Linked DNA regions of Saccharomyces cerevisiae S288C. Changing the gene in region 4 together with the main gene of any one other region gives a genetic interaction. Each region holds a gene or a part of one and is shown on either strand. Other genes may lie near its edges. The genes, in order: COS6, FIT3, MDS3 and CSI2.

What was found.
Region 1: mutations in CSI2 (region 4) and COS6 together harm fitness more than expected from each alone (negative genetic interaction), as found in Saccharomyces cerevisiae (one large-scale study listed by BioGRID).
Region 2: mutations in CSI2 (region 4) and FIT3 together harm fitness more than expected from each alone (negative genetic interaction), as found in Saccharomyces cerevisiae (one large-scale study listed by BioGRID).
Region 3: mutations in CSI2 (region 4) and MDS3 together harm fitness more than expected from each alone (negative genetic interaction), as found in Saccharomyces cerevisiae (one large-scale study listed by BioGRID).

Annotation. Positions count from the first base shown.
Region 1 is NC_001139.9:1,080,236-1,085,075, reverse strand, and holds COS6 (Cos6p), read left to right. Parts: upstream 1-2,346; coding exon 2,347-3,492; downstream 3,493-4,840. Other genes in the region: YRF1-3 (Y' element ATP-dependent helicase protein 1 copy 3), read right to left, coding at 1-45, 194-212; seripauperin PAU12, read right to left, coding at 4,408-4,770.
Region 2 is NC_001147.6:1,059,148-1,063,439, forward strand, and holds FIT3 (Fit3p), read right to left. Parts: upstream 1,909-4,292; coding exon 1,294-1,908; downstream 1-1,293. Other genes in the region: FIT2 (Fit2p), read left to right, coding at 384-845; FRE5 (putative ferric-chelate reductase), read left to right, coding at 2,417-4,292. UniProt on the Saccharomyces cerevisiae protein: Involved in the uptake of non-siderophore and siderophore sources of iron. Has a role in the retention of iron in the cell wall and periplasmic space.
Region 3 is NC_001139.9:122,353-130,488, forward strand, and holds MDS3 (Mds3p), read left to right. Parts: upstream 1-2,345; coding exon 2,346-6,809; downstream 6,810-8,136. Other genes in the region: EMP24 (Emp24p), read right to left, coding at 342-953; YIP4 (Yip4p), read left to right, coding at 1,239-1,946; D-serine ammonia-lyase DSD1, read left to right, coding at 7,531-8,136.
Region 4 is NC_001147.6:310,321-314,086, reverse strand, and holds CSI2 (Csi2p), read left to right. Parts: upstream 1-1,719; coding exon 1,720-2,745; downstream 2,746-3,766. Other genes in the region: TOP1 (DNA topoisomerase 1), read left to right, coding at 1-1,009; ubiquinone-binding protein COQ10, read right to left, coding at 3,152-3,766. UniProt on the Saccharomyces cerevisiae protein: Appears to be a structural component of the chitin synthase 3 complex.

The DNA.
Region 1 (4,840 bases), on a different chromosome or scaffold from region 4:
AGCTATTGAGAAGATGCAGAATCTGCGCTATGCAGGTGCAAATCTCTAGCAGCAGCAAAGTAAATTCAGTTAGTAAGAAATCTCACTAAGATAAGCGACTGTCTGTCCCCTTCAAGCACAACATAGAAAGCAGAAGGATGTCTCATTCATCGCTTGATTTCCGGCCTGCAAAAATAAAGTAGTCGGTACGTACGTTCGTTTTCAATTTCCATGGTGCACAGTATCTTAACTATCTGCTTAGTCGAGGAGAACCAGGATTCTGTTCGTTGCTCAGCCGCTTCGTGGATATTCTCTTGGATACTTTAAATATGGACCTACGCTTAGCCTGCGCTTAGCCTACAACTTCTTCCGCTCTCGAAAAGACCAATATAATAGAAAGTTATAAATTACATTTCCTTATTAGGTATACGACCTCGCGCTTCGAAGTAGAGGAGCCCTTTTTGGCGTACCTACATATGGCGCGTCAGACAGACAAACTTCCCCCAAAAATGTATTACCCCGCCGAATAAGAAAACAGACCCATTCACCCACGACGTATCAAGTTACTTCCTTGGTGCAATGTCCCACTATAAAAAAATTCCTTGACGCTAGATCGTTGGACTAAAATCTGCGTCACAATCGCCTAAACAGGAAATATTGCCTATTTTCGTACAAGGTTACTTCCTAGATGCTATATGTCCCTACGGCCTTGTCTAACACCATCCAGCATGCAATACAGTGACATATATATGATTTAACCTGTCTCTCAACTTACCCTCCATTACCCTACCTCCCCACAAGTTACCCTGTCTCATTCAACTATACCACACCCCAACCACCATCCATCTCTCTACTTACTACCACTCACCCACATCCACCACCTGTTACCCTCCAATTGCCCATATTCAACTCCACTACCACTTACCCTGCCATTACCCTACCATGCCCCATCTTGTTACTCACTATACTGTTGTTCTACCCAACATATTGAAATGTTAACAAATGATCGTAAATAATACACACATACTTACCCTGCCACTCTAATCCCACCACCACATGCCACACTCACCCTCACTTGTATACTGATACGGCATACGCACACGGATGCTACAGTATATACCATCTCAAGTTACCCTACTCTCACACTCCACTCCATGGCCCATTCTCACTAAATCAGTACTAGATGCACTCACATCATTATGCACGGCGCTTGCCTCAGCGTTCTATACCCTGTGCCATTTACCCATAAATCCCATGATTATCCACATTTTAATATCTATATCTCATTCGGCGGCCCCAAATATTGTATAAATGCCCTTAATACATATGTTGTACCACTTTTGCACCATATACTAACCACTCAATTTATATGCACTTATGTCAATATTACATAAAAATATCATCAAAATCACCTAAACATAAAAATATTCTACTTTTCAACAATAATACATAAACACACTCAATTGCGTATCTATACCACCATGACGTCATTAACTTAAATGTTCCTTAATATCGTCATACCATTATGATCTATTCAATATATTGTAATATAACTGCACTCTATAGTCATACAGATACTTTTACTTCACCCTATCTTCTCATACTATTGTCATAGAATCTCATACTGACACATGATTAAAACGAATAACTTTTACTATAAGGCCTGCCATCCGCGCTCTATCCTTTTGTTTGAAATATTTATATACAGAATCTCAAAACAAGCGGGAGAAGTAGTAATTACCCAGAGGTCATGCATGATCTTAGCACCACCGTACCTCTATGTTTTGCTTTGATCCGCTTTACAGTGACACCAAACATAAGGAGGGAAAATGGTATTGAAATGATGTTGAAAGGTTGTTCACATTCGCAAGTAAATTGGTTCTATGAATCTTCATGTAAGATACTCGTAGGACAGGCTCTTTCCTGTGTAAATATTTGTGACAGCTACATCTAATTTCTATTAGATATTTACACAGTTTTGTCACAGGCATTCCATGTGATAATGAAATTCTCGAGCCATATGGCGGTTGTTGTAAAAGTAGTGACATTGCTGGTCGCACCTTAAATGTAAACCAAAGTTACGGCACACTCTCACAGTACCCGCACTAAAGTTTTATAAAAGTACTATTACGATTATCGAGTGAGCTAGATAGAAAATCGGAAATGAAATGGATGCCCTTTTCGAATAGTAAAGTTTCTGTGCCTAAAATAGCTCAACATTGTTGCCCTTTTTCTATCCCGAGGTTACTGAGCCATTGCATGAACGCGCGCGCCTCGACGGCTTTTTTTTCTGCTATATAAAAGCGAAAAGCCAGAAGTTATTATTTTGAATAAAAAACCCCTCGAACTGCCATCTCACTACCGAAAATGAAAGAGAATGAACTTAAAAATGAGAAGAGTGTAGATGTATTATCCGTCAAACAGCTCGAATCCCAAAAGACTGTTCTACCTCAAGATCTTTTCAGAAGCAGCTTTACCTGGTTTTGTTATGAAATTTACAAGTCCTTAGTGTTTCGCATCTGGATGCTATTATGGCTACCACTTAGCGTCTGGTGGAAACTTTCCAACAATTGGATTTACCCGCTTATGGTTTCACTTCTTGTCCTGTTTTGGGGACCAGTATTTGTTCTTGTTATTTTTAGACTTTCTCGTAAACGTTCCTTATCGAAACAACTCACTCAGTTTTGCAAAGAGATTACTAAAAACACACCAAGTTCGGATCCTCATGATTGGGAAGTCGTTGCAGCAAATCTAAATTCGTACTTCTATGAAAATAAGGCTTGGAATACCAAGTACTTTTTTTTCAGTGCCATGAGCTGCCAAGAAGCATTCAGAACAACCCTTCTCGAACCCTTCTCTTTGAAAAAAGACGAAGCTGCCAAGGTTAAGTCATTTAAGGATTCCGTCCCTTACATTGAAGAAGCATTGGAAGTTTATTTTACAGAAGTTGAAAAACAATGGAAGTTGTTTAATTCTGAGAAATCATGGAGCCCTGTTGGCCTGGAAGATGCTAAACTTCCCAAGGAAGCTTACCGATTTAAGCTTACCTGGGTTCTCAAAAGGATTTTCAACCGGCGGTGTTTACCACTCTTCCTTTTTTATTTGCATAATGTCTTCATTTCACGAAATGATGGCACTATAGCACGTCCCTTGTTTCTTGTGGTGCTGTTTTTTATCATGACGAGAGATTTCCGGAATATGAGGATGATCGTTTTATCCGTGAAAATGGAACACAAGATGCAGTTTTTATCGACTATTATAAATGAGCAAGAAAGTGGTGCAAATGGATGGGACGAAATTGCAAAGAAAATGAATAGGTACTTGTTTGAGAAAAAAGTCTGGAAGAATGAAGAGTTTTTCTTTGACGGGATTGACTGTGAATGGTTTTTTAGCCACTTCTTCTACCGCGTTCTCTCTGCAAAGAAATCTATGCGGGCTCTATCATTGAATGTGGAACTATGGCCATATATTAAAGAAGCGCAATTATCCTGCAGTGAGGAGTCCTTAGCGTAAAGATAAATACAACTTTTTCAATTTATATATTTTGTAGTTTGTCAGCTGCGAATAACCAAAACGAGACTACTTTTTACCATTACAACCATTTTCTTTTTCCCTATTTCTCACTGGTTGACAGAAATCAGTGTGCCACCATCCTACCATATGCGCAAAACTTATTGTCTTTCTCCTCCCAGTGATGCTATATTCCATGCATATTCTGAACGATGGGTTGGTGCTTTTATCAAGCAAGGTTAATCACATGGCGTGGCTTGCTCCACGCATCAGTAGAAAACGCATACCGCAGCGGAATCCTTAAATAATAAGTGATTTTACTGTACATCGACTAGAATCGGACTCTTTCACAAATTACCCTTCTTATTTTCCACATTTATTGTTAATCAAGGGATATACAAAAGCTTATGAAAGCCTTTACCGAACACTAAATAGAAACCCTCCTGCCACGAAAAACTTCAAGATCGATAACTTTAATCTTAAAAATTTGACACATTTGAAGGCGACGACTCCGGGCCGATCGATGCCCTGAAAAAAAAAAAAAAAATAAAGGCGACCTCGTTTAAGGTGAATATGGAAGAAAATGGTTATATAATTGCTTGAACATTTGTCGTTATATATTAACAATAGCATCAACCGGTTTACTAGCAAGTGATCCTAAAATATGATTTTTTCAACATAGATATTGATGACCCATGTCGTTGAAGTGGACACACATCGAAGAATACCACAAAAGGAAGAGAGGATTCTTGTCCTTGCTCCGCCAAGTTGTTCATAAATATCACGATTGACCAGTAGTAACAATATTAATATACACTTACATATAATGAACTATTTATACTATCAAAAAAAAAAAGCTTTTTTTATTTTCGTTATTTCTTAAGGTTTATGGAATTTCGTTCGTAAAGGCGTTTGTCTCTAGTTTGCGATAGTGTAGATACCGTCCTTGGATAGAGCACTGGAGATGGCTGGCTTTAATCTGCTGGAGTACCATGGAACACCGGTGATCATTCTGGTCACTTGGTCTGGGGCAATACCAGTCAACATGGTGGTGAAGTCACCGTAGTTGAAAACGGCTTCAGCGATTTCAACTGGGTAGGTTTCAGTTGGATGAGCGGCTTGGAAAGAGTAGTATTGGGCCAAGTGAGCTCTGATATCAGAGACGTAGACACCCAATTCAACCAAGTTGACTCTTTCGTCAGATTGAGCTAGAGTGGTGGTTGCGGAAGCAGTAGCAGCGATGGCGGCAACACCAGCAGCGATTGAAGTTAGTTTGACCATTGTATTTGTTTTGTTTTTTAGTGCTGATGTAAGCTTAACAAGAAATAGTGAAATGAAAGCGCATACCTCA
Region 2 (4,292 bases), 750 kb from region 4:
CGGCAAACAAAAACACCCAAAATTTCATTACTTAGAATGACCCTCAAGAGCAGGGTGCAATTTATCAAGCGATCATTGAACTAACTAAGTTCATATCCTGTATAGGATTTAAAACAATGCACCCTAAGTTCAAATGCACCCCCCCTCGCCCCGCAGCGGACCCTTGAACAGAGAACTGTTTCGAGGTTCACCCAATTGGATCACTTGTATAATTTGTAATCGAGTTCGGATAAGATGTATACGAATCTAACTGGGTGCAGTATAATTAGCATTTTATATTACCTAGCAATATATGTATAAAACAGGAATGTGTGCGTGCTTCAGGCAGAATTTTACGGTCCTTGTAAAAAAGTCTATCATAAAGCCATCACAAAACAATAATAATGAAATTCTCAACTATTTTCGGAGCTACTACAGTTATGACTGCCGTCTCGGCAGCAGCTGTGTCGAGTGTAATGACCACTAAGACTATTACTGCTACTAACGGTAATAACGTTTACACTAAGGTCGTTACCGACACCGCTGACCCTATCATTAGTTACAGTACCACTAGAACTGTCGTTGTCAGTAATAGTGATGCTACTTACACAAAGGTTGTCACCGAAGGACCAGATACCACCTCTGAAAAGAGTACAACAAAGACACTTACTTTGACAAACGGTTCAGGTTCATCAACCAACCTTTACACCAAGACCGTCACTCAAGCCGTCGAATCATCTACATCCTCCTCATCCTCCTCATCCTCCTCCTCCTCTTCTGCCTCTTCTTCTGGTGCTGCTCCTGCTGCATTCCAAGGAGCAAGTGTCGGTGCATTGGCCCTTGGTTTGATTTCTTACCTATTATAAGCTCGGTTTCAAACCAGAAAAAAGCTATTAGTTATCGTGTATAGCATATTTATAACTTATCTATGAAAAGCTAATATAATTGTCTTTCTCCTTCAAAAGGCTAGTAAAAAGGACTTTTTTTCATTACGTTTCTCAGTGACTTCAATGTAGCAGTTTTTCGTTTCATCATCATCATCGTATTATTATTATTGTTATTATTATTATTATCATTACTTTTATTAATATTAACTATTTTTTTAGTATGATTTCGGGTATATTTATTTTAATTAGATACTTTTAACCGTTTCAAACAATTAAAGGAAGACCAACGAACTTGAAACAGTATATATACATACATACTTAATGTGTGTTATTAAAATTTTTTTATTCTAACATAACTTCGAAAAAAGGCCAAGCCGCAAGGTGCTTCATAAAAATCGGATATCCCGCATGATTATTCACATATCATTTACAATAACATGACGGCAGCAAGGGCAGCACCCATCAAACCAGTACCAGCGGTGATGGCATCAGCAGCACCGGTGTAACTAGATAATTCAGCGGTGCTAGAGGATGTAGCAGAGGAAGAAGTTTCAGCAGTGGTGGTTGCAGTGGTTGAAGCAGAAGAGGTAGCAGCTTCTGAGCTGGTAGAAGTACTACTTGGAGACCAGGTGTTGCTGCTGCCTTCACCAGTCCAGACAAAAGTAGCATCTTGGGTGACAGTCTTAGTGTAGACGTGACCGTTCTTGGTGGCAGTGATAGTGGTAGTGATACTAGAACCAGAACCTTCATCAGCAGAAGAAGTCTCAGCAGCAGAAGAAGTCTCAGCAGCAGAAGTGGTAGCGGCAGCAGAAGTGGTAGCGGCAGCAGAGGTTTCGGCGGCAGAAGTTTCGGCGGCAGAAGATTCAGCGGCAGAAGTGCTGCTGGCGTAAGAGTCTTCACCACCCCAAACAAAAGTAGCATCTTGGGTGACAGTCTTAGTGTAGACATGACCGTTCTTGGTGGCAGTGATGGTGGTGGTGATACTCTCAGCAAGAGCAGTAGCGGCAACAGCAGATAGAACCAAAGCGGAAGAGAATTTCATTTTAGGGATTATTGTTATTAGTTATTTTTAAGCGAGTGGAAGTACTTGTTTGTATCTGTTCGAACATTCATATTACCTCCTAATACTTCAAATAGTTCTTGGCTTAAATACCCCATAAATCAACTTTTACAAAAAAAAAAATAACAAATCTCGAACGATAATTGAACCCCATTTTTTTGCACCCTTTCCTAGAATGGCGGAACTCGGCTCTTGAGCCCTTAGATTGCTTTCCTTCACATACATCAAAAAATATGGGATAGCGGGGTGCGGAACAAACAGGGTGCAAAAAAAAATCTAGGACATAGGTAGGACTAAGAAGACTGTGGCATTACTACACAGCAATCATATTTTACCGCTTCCTCGTTTAATTGGATTTTTACTTTTCATTACATTAGCGATCATTAAAAAAGGAGCGTCAATTTTTTACTTGGCAAATGTGTAATGTAGCGTTTTCGGTATGTCACATCACCAATTTTGTCGCAGTTAATTTAATTCACCCAGATTTCGAATGCTTTTCGCTAGATTAGTGCTGCTGTTGGTGTATTTGGCACCAGGTTCTTTAGCAAAACCAGCATCAACTAAGAAAAGAACGCAATGGGACCAGATAGCAATTGATGCTTGTGCTAAAGAATTGGAATCACACAAATTTGACACGGATGTGAAGGGTCGGCACGCTACTCTTTGCACTTATGAACCAGCACTAGGGTCTTGGTTACATTGCGCGAAGGATGTTCTCGACAGTAGGAAGAAAAGTAAAAAAATATTCGAAAAAACGTTTAGCAAAATTAATCAGTATTGCCACGATTATCACAAAGATGAGGTCGTCAGCAATGAGGAGTATTATCGAATTTTTGCCAATGCATCCCTTTTCATCCGGCCTCTTGATGAGGTAAAGGAAAACATACGATATCCCGTCACTCCCAATAAAGCCTCTCTAGATAGGTGGGTATGGGCTTATTTTGGGCCCCTGGATAATATAGACAAAGGAAATGTTTATGGAGTGACGATTTGCTTATACTGGATAGGAGTTCTGTTTATTGCAGCTGTATATCACTTCTTGAACTTTTCTCGACTTAAACAAACGGTGTTCAAAAACAAGGTGTCTGCTTTCTTAAGAGGCCACTATGTTCTTCCAGCGCTTGTTCATAACCATGCTATGTCAGTGGGAAGGTGGTTTTTCATCGGTCTGGTCCCTACCAGGTTAGAGACCCTTGTCCTATTCGGTTACGTTTTGTTGCACGGGTTCTTGTTGAGTAGTTACAATTTTGACCATAATGAGTTGCTCAGTGATCGCAGAAGCCAAGTGCTTATCTTCCTTTCCGACAGGGCAGGGATCCTGGCATTCGCACATTTTCCTTTGATAGTTCTCTTTGGCGGTAAAAACAGCACAATGACTTGGCTCACAGGTATAAGATATACCGCATTCATTACTTACCACAAATGGTTAGGAAGATTCATGTTAGTAGACTGTACGATCCATGCAATAGGATACACCTACCATGCATACATAGAAAATTACTGGAAATACGTGAAGTATAGTGATCTATGGACATCCGGAAGACATGCCATGATCATTGTTGGAATACTTGTGTTTTTTTCGTTCTTCTTCTTTAGACGACATTATTACGAATTGTTTGTTATTACGCACATTATCTTAGCAATAGGATTTTTCCATGCGTGCTGGAAACATTGCTATAAACTTGGATGGGGTGAATGGATAATGGCGTGTGCACTGTTTTGGATTGCTGACCGTATTCTGCGGCTAATAAAGATTGCAATTTTTGGAATGCCATGGGCTAAATTGAAACTGTGTGGCGAGTCCATGATAGAAGTGAGAATCTCAAAAAGCTCCAAATGGTGGAAAGCAGAACCTGGCCAATATATATATCTGTACTTCTTAAGACCAAAAATATTCTGGCAATCACATCCATTCACGGTCATGGATTCTTTGGTTGAGGATGGTGAGTTGGTAGTTGTGATAACAGTGAAAAATGGGCTAACCAAAAAATTACAGGAATACCTTTTAGAGAGCGAAGGGTACACGGAAATGCGAGTACTAGCAGAAGGACCTTATGGACAAAGCACGCGAACACATTTGTTCGAAAGCCTCCTGTTTATTGCCGGAGGGGCGGGTGTTCCTGGACCTCTGTCGATGGCAATAAAGGCAGGTCGCCAGGTCAAAAGCAACGATTCTCATCAAATGATCAAATTTGTGTGGAGTGTACGTAACCTTGATCTCTTAGAAGTGTATCGCAAAGAGATAATGGTGCTAAAAGAGTTGAACATAGACACAAAAATTTACTTCACAGGAGAGCGAAAAGATGAATCGAACACGGAGGAGGGAGCAATTGCTAATATGAGCACGGAAGGCAGACTGCTGACGA
Region 3 (8,136 bases), on a different chromosome or scaffold from region 4:
GTTCTATATGAACAGAGCTATTTCCCTTCTAAGAGTCCCACATAAAAGTGCTCTGGGGAAAAACGGACCACAGCATGTCCTGTGGTACTTGTTTCTTTCAAGTTTTTCGTATGTATTTCCCATTTTTTGATTCGCTACAACCTGTATTTGTTTTATGGCGCGCCTGGACCATATATATGTATATATTTATTTACATGTAATTGGCACAGGGAAAAACAGTGGAAGGATCAAGGTAAAAAGTATGAAACCGAGAATTATTCGCGACTTCAGGTTATCCAATCGTGTATGTAATCGTATGTAGGCAAAAGTAAATAGATATGAACTACATTTTCCTGCTTTACTTAGACTAGAGATGTGACCTCAAAGAATCTTCTCAAGTAGTATATCTGGAAAAGAGAGTTTGCAATAACGACGCCCAATTGGAAGATGGACCACCATTTAACACGATCGTTGGTCGACTCTGCAGTATTTCTATGCGTCCTTTCTCTAATAACAATATAACTTTGTTCGTCCTTGACTTCCCTGGTTAATTTGGACAACTTTCTGACAGCACTATCCAATGTATTGGTGTTTGGGTCGTCCAAATCCACATATACCACCCCATGAATGTTGAAAGTCACGTCTTTTGTCTCGATACCGGTGTTCTCGTTCAAGAAACAGTATTGGAAATGTCCCTTGTATGGAGCAGACAATGTGATTTCACCGTGCGACGTGTCCCTAACCGTTTTCAAAACTTCATGTCTTTCCGGCCCGTAGATGATAAAGTCACCAGTCAGCTGGCTACTGGATTGAGGGTTTCTATCACCGAACTGGAACGAAATGGAGAGCTCGTCACCCTTACTCAAGTCTTCGAAGAAGCATCTACGGCCATAAGCTGGAAGAAGGACATTATGGGCGGACGCCGAGAAGAACAGGAAGCAAGCAATGACAAACTTAGTAGCAAATGAGGCCATCCTTATGCGTGTGTATTTTTGTGCGGAGGGATACTATTAAGATTGCAGTTTCACCAAGTATAGCTTTTTATTTCATTATAAGTTTCGTGTCAAAATGTTTAAGCGACCCGATCTCTCAGGCTGTTTTGCACGACTTTTCTGACTTTCCTCGCGTCTTTTTTCATGAAAATTGGATTACCCGGAGTGATGATTTTCTCACAGTGATTTTTCGTCCCCTTTTACAATAGCAAATGAAGCTGTTTTAGCAATATTTGTAGAAAGATATGTCACAAGAGGGCAGGCAAAATGTCATACGGAAGAGAAGACACTACGATTGAGCCCGACTTCATAGAACCAGATGCACCTTTGGCTGCTTCCGGGGGTGTTGCTGACAACATAGGCGGAACTATGCAGAATTCAGGCAGCAGAGGGACGCTCGACGAGACTGTGCTGCAAACACTAAAGCGAGATGTGGTGGAGATTAATTCCAGACTGAAACAAGTGGTATACCCGCATTTCCCCTCATTCTTTAGCCCCTCTGATGACGGGATAGGGGCGGCTGATAACGACATTTCAGCCAATTGCGACCTGTGGGCGCCCCTTGCGTTTATCATATTGTATTCTCTATTTGTATCGCATGCGCGGTCGCTGTTCTCGAGCCTATTTGTGTCTAGTTGGTTCATTTTGCTGGTGATGGCATTGCATCTGAGACTCACCAAGCCACACCAGAGGGTGTCGCTGATTTCGTACATCTCCATTTCCGGGTATTGCTTATTCCCACAAGTGCTGAATGCCTTAGTCTCGCAGATACTACTTCCATTGGCCTACCATATTGGAAAGCAAAATCGCTGGATTGTGAGGGTCCTGTCGCTCGTGAAACTGGTGGTCATGGCGCTGTGCCTGATGTGGTCTGTGGCCGCCGTTTCGTGGGTTACCAAGAGCAAGACCATTATCGAGATATACCCTCTGGCACTCTGTCTTTTTGGCATGGCCTGGTTGTCAACTATTTTATAACACTAGTTACATATGTATAAAACCCAATATCATGGACATAGAATTGCCTATCTCGCGAGCCACGGCAGAAAGTTCTGAAAAAAAAAAAAAAGAGGACGCTCACAGGGGCTGGCGTGTGGCTAAGGCAGACTCCGTGGAGTGTAAGAGAAGTTCAAAGCAAGATTAGGCTTTCTGATGAATTGGTAGCGCAGAGTCTGGCAAAGTCTATTTCAAGTTCACAGCGTCCGTTTACCACAATTGTTTGAGAACTCTTCTCCTTCCTGTGCCTATAGCCACACTTGCAAACATTACATGGTGAAGGCGCTTTAGAGACTTTTCTGTTTTACTATATATATAAGATAACATAGCGCGCGTGCAAACCAAAGGACAAGTAACAATCTGCACCTGCTTTAGCGTAGTATGCCTTTATTACAACCATCCACTTGCTTCTGCTACCCTTTGAAGCTTCCGCCATTACCACTGACTTCCGATTCCAACGAGTTTGATGAATGCGCCAGGAAAAGGTTAACGCTGGACTATAGAACAGGTTCAGCGGTGACGCTAACAAGGTCTAATATATTTGTACATGGTGGTCTAACCATCCCGTTGAACCTGCCAGTTGTAAATTCTATGCAATTACAAAAGGAGCTTATTCTCTTTTTTGCAAAGGAAAAAAACAACGGTAGTTCTTTTAGGAATTTAAACGAGTGGATAAGTAAGGAGACGTTTTTCTTAGACTTGATGTCTAGAACCTGGTACAGAGTCAAGACCTCCTTTGACCAAAGGACAGAGGAATTATTAAAGGCAGAGAGTTCTAGCGCCAAAGCAGATAATGACACAAACGAGATTAGAACGGACATTAAGAAAGGTAAATCCCTTGAATCTCCGCTCAAGGAGAGGCTATTCCATTCCTTATGTTATTTAGATGGCTGTTTATATATATTTGGTGGTCTCACAGTGTCTCCTCAGAGCGGATATGAGTTGATTGCTACCAATGAGTTGTGGAAACTGGATTTAAACACGAAGAAGTGGTCGCTTTTGAGTGATGACCCTCAAATAGCGAGAAGGTTCAACCATACCATGCATGTAAAGAACGAAAATAACGATAATAGAGACACGAAATTAATAATTGTCGGAGGTCTTAATAACATGGATCAGCCGGTCAAGAAAATAGACATCTATAACATCTCACAGAATTGCTGGCAATCCGAAACCATACCCAAACAACCGATGGAAATCACTACAAATGTCAATGGCATACCATTAGCATTATCAAAGGATCAGAATTTTTCGATTTTAGTTGAAAATAATGAGGCCAACGTTCCAGCGCTGGCATTCTATATGAGAAGTGATCAAATAGACGAATATCTCGGAAAGGATTCATCAAAGATAAAGGAGAATTCGCCTATAGTGGCGTTGCCGCTATTGTCTGAATCGCAAGGTATTAGAATGCCCTCAAACCCGGCATTACCGAAAAAACTATTGAATGTTCCGTATGAGCTATTAGCACCGACAGGTGACTATTTTGGATTCAATATCATAATCGGTGGGTTTCATCCAAATTACCAATCCTCTAACTTTCATTGTTTTATATACGATATTAACTCCGGAAAGTGGTCACGAGTCGCTACCGCCTGCCCTGACTGCGATATCAATAAACATCGATTCTGGAGGGTATTTGTTTGGAAATCGCATCATCAGACGATTTTGTTGGGTACCAAGACTGATGATTATTATTCACCCAGTGTACAAAGATTCGACCATCTTTCCACTTTTGGATTACCGCTGGTAAATATTTTTAACAAGACGATCCAATTACCCCATCACAAGATCTCAGCTTCGTCTTTACCAATACCCATAGAAAATTTTGCGAAGCATAAGGATACTCCATTAAAAAAGGTGAGCTTCACTTCATCAGCTACCTCCCAATTTGAAAACTACATTAGATATATAGCTCCGCCCTTGGAAATGTCTTCTATCCAATCTGTGTTTCCACCGTATGCCATGGTTCTAGGTAAAGACGCTTTAGAGATTTACGGGAAGCCTCTTTCTGATTTTGAATTTATTACTAGTGAAGGTGACTCCATTGGTATACCATGCTATTTGCTGAGGAAAAGATGGGGCCGTTATTTCGACATGCTTTTATCCCAGAGTTATACAAAAGTTTGTGCTGATTATGAAACTACTGATACGCAATCTACACTAATAAAATTTTCACCACATTCATCTAGAAACAGTTCTAAAGCTGTGAGGCAAGAAGGTAGACTCTCTTCATCGGGTTCACTGGACAATTATTTCGAAAAAAACTTCCCAATCTTTGCGAGAACAAGTGTTTCCGAGGCCCAGAACACACAACCTCAGGTAGCGAATGCTGATGCGAAAGCTCCAAATACACCTAGTACGTCAGATGAACCAAGCTCTTCCTCCTCTTCCGATTTATACTCCACTCCTCATTACCAACGTAATAATGATGAAGAGGATGACGAGGACCCGGTTTCCCCGAAGCCTGTATCAAAATCAAACAGTATCTATAGACCCATTAGAAAGACAGAAAGTTCATCAACAACGAGTTCTTCAAACGGTATGATTTTCAGAGTACCTTTCAAGGAAAAAGCGGCTGTAACGTCAAACACTGAAGCCCTCTTGGAGTCAAACCTTTCACTTCAAGAATTGAGCCGAAGAAGATCATCACTTATGAGCATCCCGTCTGGTGAACTTCTAAGGTCCTCTATATCTGAAGCGGAACATCAACGTCGTGCATCTCATCCACTCACTTCATCACCGCTCTTTGAAGATAGTGGAACCCCTTGCGGCAAACAACTGCAACAACTGCAACAACATACTATACAAAATCCTCATAACCATTTGTCGCCCCGGAGGTTTTCAAGAAGTGCAAGAAGTTCAATTTCCTACGTGAGTTCTTCTTCCGATAGACGTGGAAATTCAATTTCTAGCAGGAGCACAAGCGATAGCTTTGGAACTCCACCAGTTTTGGGCGTTTTGAATGTACCATTACCTCCTCAAACAAGAGAACCTAATGAACCACCTCCACCATGTCCTGCAATGAGTACCGGCTCAAATACAAGGCGAAGCAACACCTTAACGGATTATATGCATTCTAACAAGGCTAGCCCGTTTTCTTCTCGTAGATCGTCGCATATCGGTAGACGTTCTAGTACACCGGAAACGGAAAACGCATTCTCTGCAACACCAAGAGCATCCTTAGATGGTCAAATGTTAGGAAAATCTTTGAAGGAAGGTTCTACATCACAGTACACACAGCCAAGGATGAACTCTTTCCCAAAGGCTAATGAAACCATACAAACACCCACATCATCAAACAATGAATGGAGCCGTCAATCCGTTACTTCAAATACAGATAGTTTTGACAGTTTGCAATCTAATTTTGCGTTAGAGTTGGAACCACTTTTAACACCGAGGTCACTTTATATGCCTTGGCCAACCTCCACAGTTCGAGCATTTGCGGAATTTTTTTACACTGGGCAAGTAAACAGTAAATGGCTTTTGGCACCAGTTGCTCTTGATTTATTAGTAATGGCCAAGATTTATGAAATACCATTACTGTATAAATTGATCCTTGAAGTTTTATATTCGATTCTGGCTAAAAAAGAAGAAAGTTTATCCTTAATATGTACTTCGTTAATGGAGACCTTTCGCACCAAAACTCTGAACTCCTATAAAGGTGATGAAGAAAAAACAAATACTTATTTGACTTCAAACGATAACTATCAGGAACTGTTGAAATTAAAAGTGTCGCTGGAGAATATCGACAATGGGTATTATGACCCAGATTTGTTACGCAAACAGTCAAGAGCACAGTCTTCAAGCACACAAGAAAGCAGTGGTAGTGCAAACGGCGAAAAAACTGCAACTGGCGCTGGCTCTCTGGAGACTTCTTCAACCAATGTCCCTACAGTATTTGCTGGCGGTCCCAGAGATAGCCACAATTCAGTAGGCTCCATTGGTTTTCCAAACAGTATGAATATACAAGGCTCAAGAAGATCGACATCAGGATTTTCTCCACGCGTTAAGATGAAATCGAGCTTAAGCAAGGAAATAGATCCCAAAACTTTTTATGAAGAGTACGAACCAAAAGAGGGCAAAAGTTTTGATGATAACGATGATCAACAAACCAACATCGGAAGTTTTAACCTTCATTTGTTTGATATGAATTATGGTTCCATCAGCAGCAGTAGCACTAACAGCATTAGTAGCAGTGATTTAGAAGAGAAAGAAGAACAAGAGCAACTTCAAGATTTATTGGAAATAGAAAGAGAAGATTCTGCTGAGATCTTAGACGCAAGATTCAGAAACAAAGAAGATGATAAAGTGACGAAGGATATATCAAATGACAAGAAACGCAATTACTTACCGCATGAAAAAAATAACTTGAAAGCCAAGGAAGGTAAGGAAACTAGAGACGTAAGGGAGGAGGAGGAAGAATTCGATTTTGGTTTGGGAATGCTTTCGCTCAATAAAATAAAAAGAGAAGCCAAGCATGTCGATAAGGTGGACGATTCTGTAGACCCTTTATTTAAATCATCTGCTTTCCCTCAAAGTCCCATTCGAGCATACGGGTCTACCACAAGAACTAGTTCGGCTTCTGGAAAGCCATTCAGGGACAATCGTTCATTTAATGCATTTTCTGTTTTGACATTAGAAAATATGGCGTCTGCAAATGCCCTACCTCCCGTTGATTATGTCATAAAATCAATATACAGAACCACTGTGTTAGTGAACGATATCAGACTAATGGTTCGTTGCATGGATTGCATTGAATTATCTAAAAATTTACGAGCGCTCAAGAAAAAAACTATGGAAGATATTTCGAAATTGAAAGGCATCTCTAAACCGTCACCATAGACCGCTACGTCCCAGGATAGTTACTCGCACATATAAAGTTCTTAATAATCCAAGAATATGCTGCTATACATCTCAAAACGGATTGCTTCCATATGGGCGCCACTTTTCTGTTTCTTTGCTATCAAAACAGTTGGCACCAAAAAGCTACTCATTGCAAAGGTTTATTGCTTATGAAATATTGCTTTGTGAACAGATTCAACCGAAATTACCCGGTGAATATGACTATGTAAGTTATTAGTATAGGTTGCATTTGCTGTATTCGTTGATAAGACAACATCTTGTATCATACTAGTTTCCGCACACTAGTATTTCGTCTACTATTGACTTTCTGATAAGGTTATCTGGTTCCTGTATTTGCAGTTTATCGAAGCGGGCAGACCAGGTCAGCTCAGGACAATTCAAATTCAGATAATGAGGCACAGACTAATCATAACACGAAAATTGAATACATCCCACGATATAGCATAACCAAATGTCGGAACATAACTAGCAATACAATTTTTACATCGGGCCGAATCCGTCGGAGAGTGATAAGACGGAGTTAAAATATCTCTCAAAACCATGGAACAACAATATGTGTACATATATAAAGCTTTTGAGTGAAAAGATTTCTTTCCACTATTTACTGTCAATTTTATTCAACACGAAAGGGAATTAAGTGCACATAAATACTTCATTTCTTGATAAGGAAGTATAATATTGCTCCTAAGAAGAGTTTGAAATGAGCGATGTTCTATCTCAATATAAAGGGTGCTCAGTCAGAGATTTACCCACACCCAATTTCGTTATTAATGAAGAAAAATTTGATAAGAATTGTACGACAATGTTGAACAACGTTGAAAAGCTCAGCCAGGAATGTGGCGTACCAATCAAATTTCGTGCACACGTAAAAACGCATAAGACAGCAAAGGGAACTTTGAAACAATTGGGCCACGGACTTCCATTGGCTAAACGCACTACAAGAGCCATATTAGTATCAACTTTGAAAGAAGCAGAAGAACTTCTTAATTATCAAGATAGACAATGTTCGGATTATATTGACGATATAACATATAGTTTACCCTGTTGCGTTCCAGAGTTTATTCCTCTTTTGAGCAATTTGTCAAGAAGGGTGAATAATTTTCAGGTTTTTGTTGATAACATTGAACACTTGGAGAATTTAAAGAATTTCGGTAGGCCTGCTTCCGGCAAGAAATGGTCGGTTTTTATCAAGGTTGATATGGGGACTAAGAGGGCAGGTCTTGCTTTCGACTCTCCAGAATTTTTGAGTCTTTTAAAAAAACTGACTTCCTCAGAAATTAAAGAAGTAATTGAGCCATATGGGTTT
Region 4 (3,766 bases):
TTGTTGTTCATTGCGATATGAGCATGTTACTTTGAAACCTCCGAATACTGTTATCTTTGATTTCTTAGGTAAGGATTCTATTAGATTTTATCAAGAGGTAGAAGTTGACAAACAAGTTTTCAAAAATTTGACAATTTTTAAAAGGCCGCCCAAACAGCCAGGACATCAACTGTTTGATCGTCTAGATCCATCTATACTGAACAAATATCTACAAAACTACATGCCGGGATTGACTGCTAAAGTTTTCCGTACATATAATGCTTCCAAAACAATGCAAGATCAACTGGATCTAATTCCAAATAAAGGATCTGTCGCAGAGAAAATATTGAAGTACAACGCAGCAAATAGAACTGTAGCCATCCTATGTAACCATCAAAGGACTGTCACGAAGGGGCATGCACAAACAGTGGAAAAGGCCAATAATAGAATACAAGAGTTGGAATGGCAAAAGATTCGTTGCAAGAGGGCCATTTTACAATTGGATAAGGATCTTTTAAAGAAAGAGCCAAAATATTTCGAAGAAATCGACGATTTGACGAAAGAAGATGAAGCCACCATTCACAAGAGAATTATTGATAGAGAAATTGAAAAATATCAGCGAAAATTTGTTAGGGAGAACGATAAGAGGAAATTTGAAAAGGAAGAATTATTGCCGGAAAGTCAATTGAAGGAATGGTTGGAGAAAGTCGACGAAAAGAAACAAGAATTCGAAAAGGAATTGAAAACCGGTGAAGTGGAACTGAAATCAAGTTGGAATTCAGTCGAAAAAATAAAAGCACAAGTAGAGAAATTAGAACAGCGTATCCAAACTAGTTCCATTCAGTTGAAAGATAAAGAGGAAAACTCCCAGGTTTCACTGGGCACTTCCAAAATCAATTATATAGACCCTAGACTTTCTGTGGTATTTTGCAAAAAGTATGATGTTCCGATTGAAAAGATTTTTACAAAAACCCTAAGAGAAAAATTCAAATGGGCCATAGAATCGGTAGATGAAAATTGGAGGTTTTAACGCAAAGAAACGCAGCATAGGGGAGAAGCAAATACATTCACGCATCAAGTTCGCATTAGGGTTACTAGGAAGATATCTTATACACATATATAGAAATAATTTAAAACTTTTAAAGAGTATACTGCAGTGTAATCATGCCACAGTTACTTTACCCCTCCTATTATTTCTTAGTTACCTGCATATAAGAAACGTATTGTCCGTATCTCTTGATGTTTTGGAAGCAAAAATACTTGGAACCTTTGCAAGAATGCATGCTCAGTGACACGGCTTGAATCCGTCCCTTGTCGCATGTATGCCCTTCGAAATTTTGGCGGTTTTCGCGTTTTCTGCGTGTAAGTGTGGCAGGATCGCGAAAAAAAAGTAATTAGCGTAGACAAGAATTACACGAAAAGTCGTCAACACAGCGCCGTCTGTAAGGAAGAACCGCTCTATTGAAATAGAAGCCACGAAATGCTAAGCTGAATCAAACAAATTCAGATCATAATTTCCTGTTCTAGATGGGGCCTTCCGTTCTATTAAAAGTGTCTGCTGAAAAAGAAAAAGATTTGCATCCATGCTTCCTCCAATATAAGGATGTGAGATACGTAGTACATCTTAGCTTGCTTTATTTTACAAATAACACATCAGCAGAAGGACGCTTTACGGTGAAACAGGAAAGTCTTTAACTATTAATAGGGAAAAGATTGTCAACATAAACTAGTAACGACACAATGAGACTGCCAGAAATCTCCATTTGGAAAGTGATACTACTACTTCATTTGTTTGCTCTACAAGAATTTCAACTTGTCTCCGCTGCAAATTTGCCCTCTTTATCAAGTAGTACAAAGGCAGCAGATAGTTCTAGTAAAGGCAGCTCTTCAGCCAAGACAACCACGTCCTTAGGCAAAAGCTCAGTAACCAGTAAGGATGTTTCGTCAAGTCATAATGTCACTTCAAGCACTAAAATGCCCAAAATCACCACGAGCGCTAGTACAAGCTTATACACCAACTCTAGTTTATGGAGCAACAACAGTGTAATATCAACTTCATCTATTACACCTTCCAGCGTTTATATCCCGGTTACGGACGGAAATAAATTCTTATATCAGGCTCATCATCCTAACGGTACTGTGTTCATTGCATTTGCTGGCTGTTTAGGTGCAATTCTACTATCACTGACGGGTGCATGGATTGCATTGAATATAAAGTCATGGCGAAGTGCTAGAAAGGAAAATAAGCTGAGAAATCTAGAAAATCAATACCAACACGATCCTTTCTACTTCCAAACAAACATTAATGACGACGAAAGTGAAACATCTTCCCATTCTGACGACAGTGACATATCAGAAAAAGTTCTGAAAAATAACTCATCTCGTATGAGTTTGTATACTCTAGGATCCACTTCTGTTTTGAATCTTTTGAACAATAAAACAGATGCCAACGATAACTTCAGATCATCTATGTTTATTTCACCCACCGAAATTCTGCAATCTGATGCCAACAACTCTAATACATGGTCTCAAAGCAATGAGAGTGCTATATATGATTCCTTGTCCAGTACTCCAAGGGAACCTGGTGCTACCCAAATACTGGGAAAGTTTACAGACAGCACTAATCCATTCAATTATACATCATACAATTTAAGTCCCGACTCTGAAGACCGCTCTACTCCAAAATCAAATGTTAGTCAGGGTAAAGTAAAGAAGTACCGTCCTCCCAGTGTTCATCTGGATCAACTGCTCGACGGTAAGGAATAATTGCGTCCCCACCTTTCTACACCTCATTTACACTAAGTGCGACTCGAAAACCTAATACTTCAATTAATGAGAGGATACGTGTAAATTCCTCGCCATCACCATGCGCTGTTTTTAGTACACCATTCTTTTTTCGCATACAGATACAAGCACTAAACTGATCGTACTTTGCCAATGAATAAAATGGTGCATCTGCGTATCAACTTGTTGATTGCGACGGAAGACCAGGAAATTTTGCAGCAAAATATATTTGTTTGTATCCTCCGCCCCTACTGGAGCTTGTTAGAAAGCTTAAATACTATAAACATAACTATACAGAAAAATCTTGTTCTATAGTCTAAAAATTTAACCATGCATACGCTTATCCTGGATGGCATGATCTTTGTTATCTGAAATTATACGGAAGATATCACGGAGAGCCTTCTTTAGAAGAAGGTTTTAGCATTGCTAATCTTACTAAATGGTATGCTCTTTTGGCAAATGCGTTCATCACCAATTCAGTCACAGTTTTCGCAAATATTAGAGAGACACTGTTATATATCCGAGATTTGAATTTAAATCTTAATAGAAGTTCTACCATGGCCGCATTTGGTCTATTTGGGTGAGGCATTATGGTCCATTTCGAAATCAAAAGGTGAAACAAATTATGAGATATTGTTTCTGCAACAACGGTATACGTATGATCAGTATCTTTACAGGTAACATTGCATATAAATTCCTCATCGTATTGTTTGAAACCAACTCGAAGCCCCGCAATGAGAGGCTTGTTATCCACAGGATTTCGTTTATCTACAAACGAATCAACACAATAAGGAATAAATTCCTTATATTGGGCAACTTCTGACACTGCAGCGTAGACTGTGCTTGGAGGGGCGTTTATGGCCTTGCGCAAAACATATCGCTGTTCCCTAATAGTGTGATTGGTACCGCTCAAACCAAAAAAATTTCTTTTAAGAGGATATCTCCCAATTGGCTTGAGCATCGCTTTCCTGAATAATATCAATGTCTGTGAGGGCCTTATTAT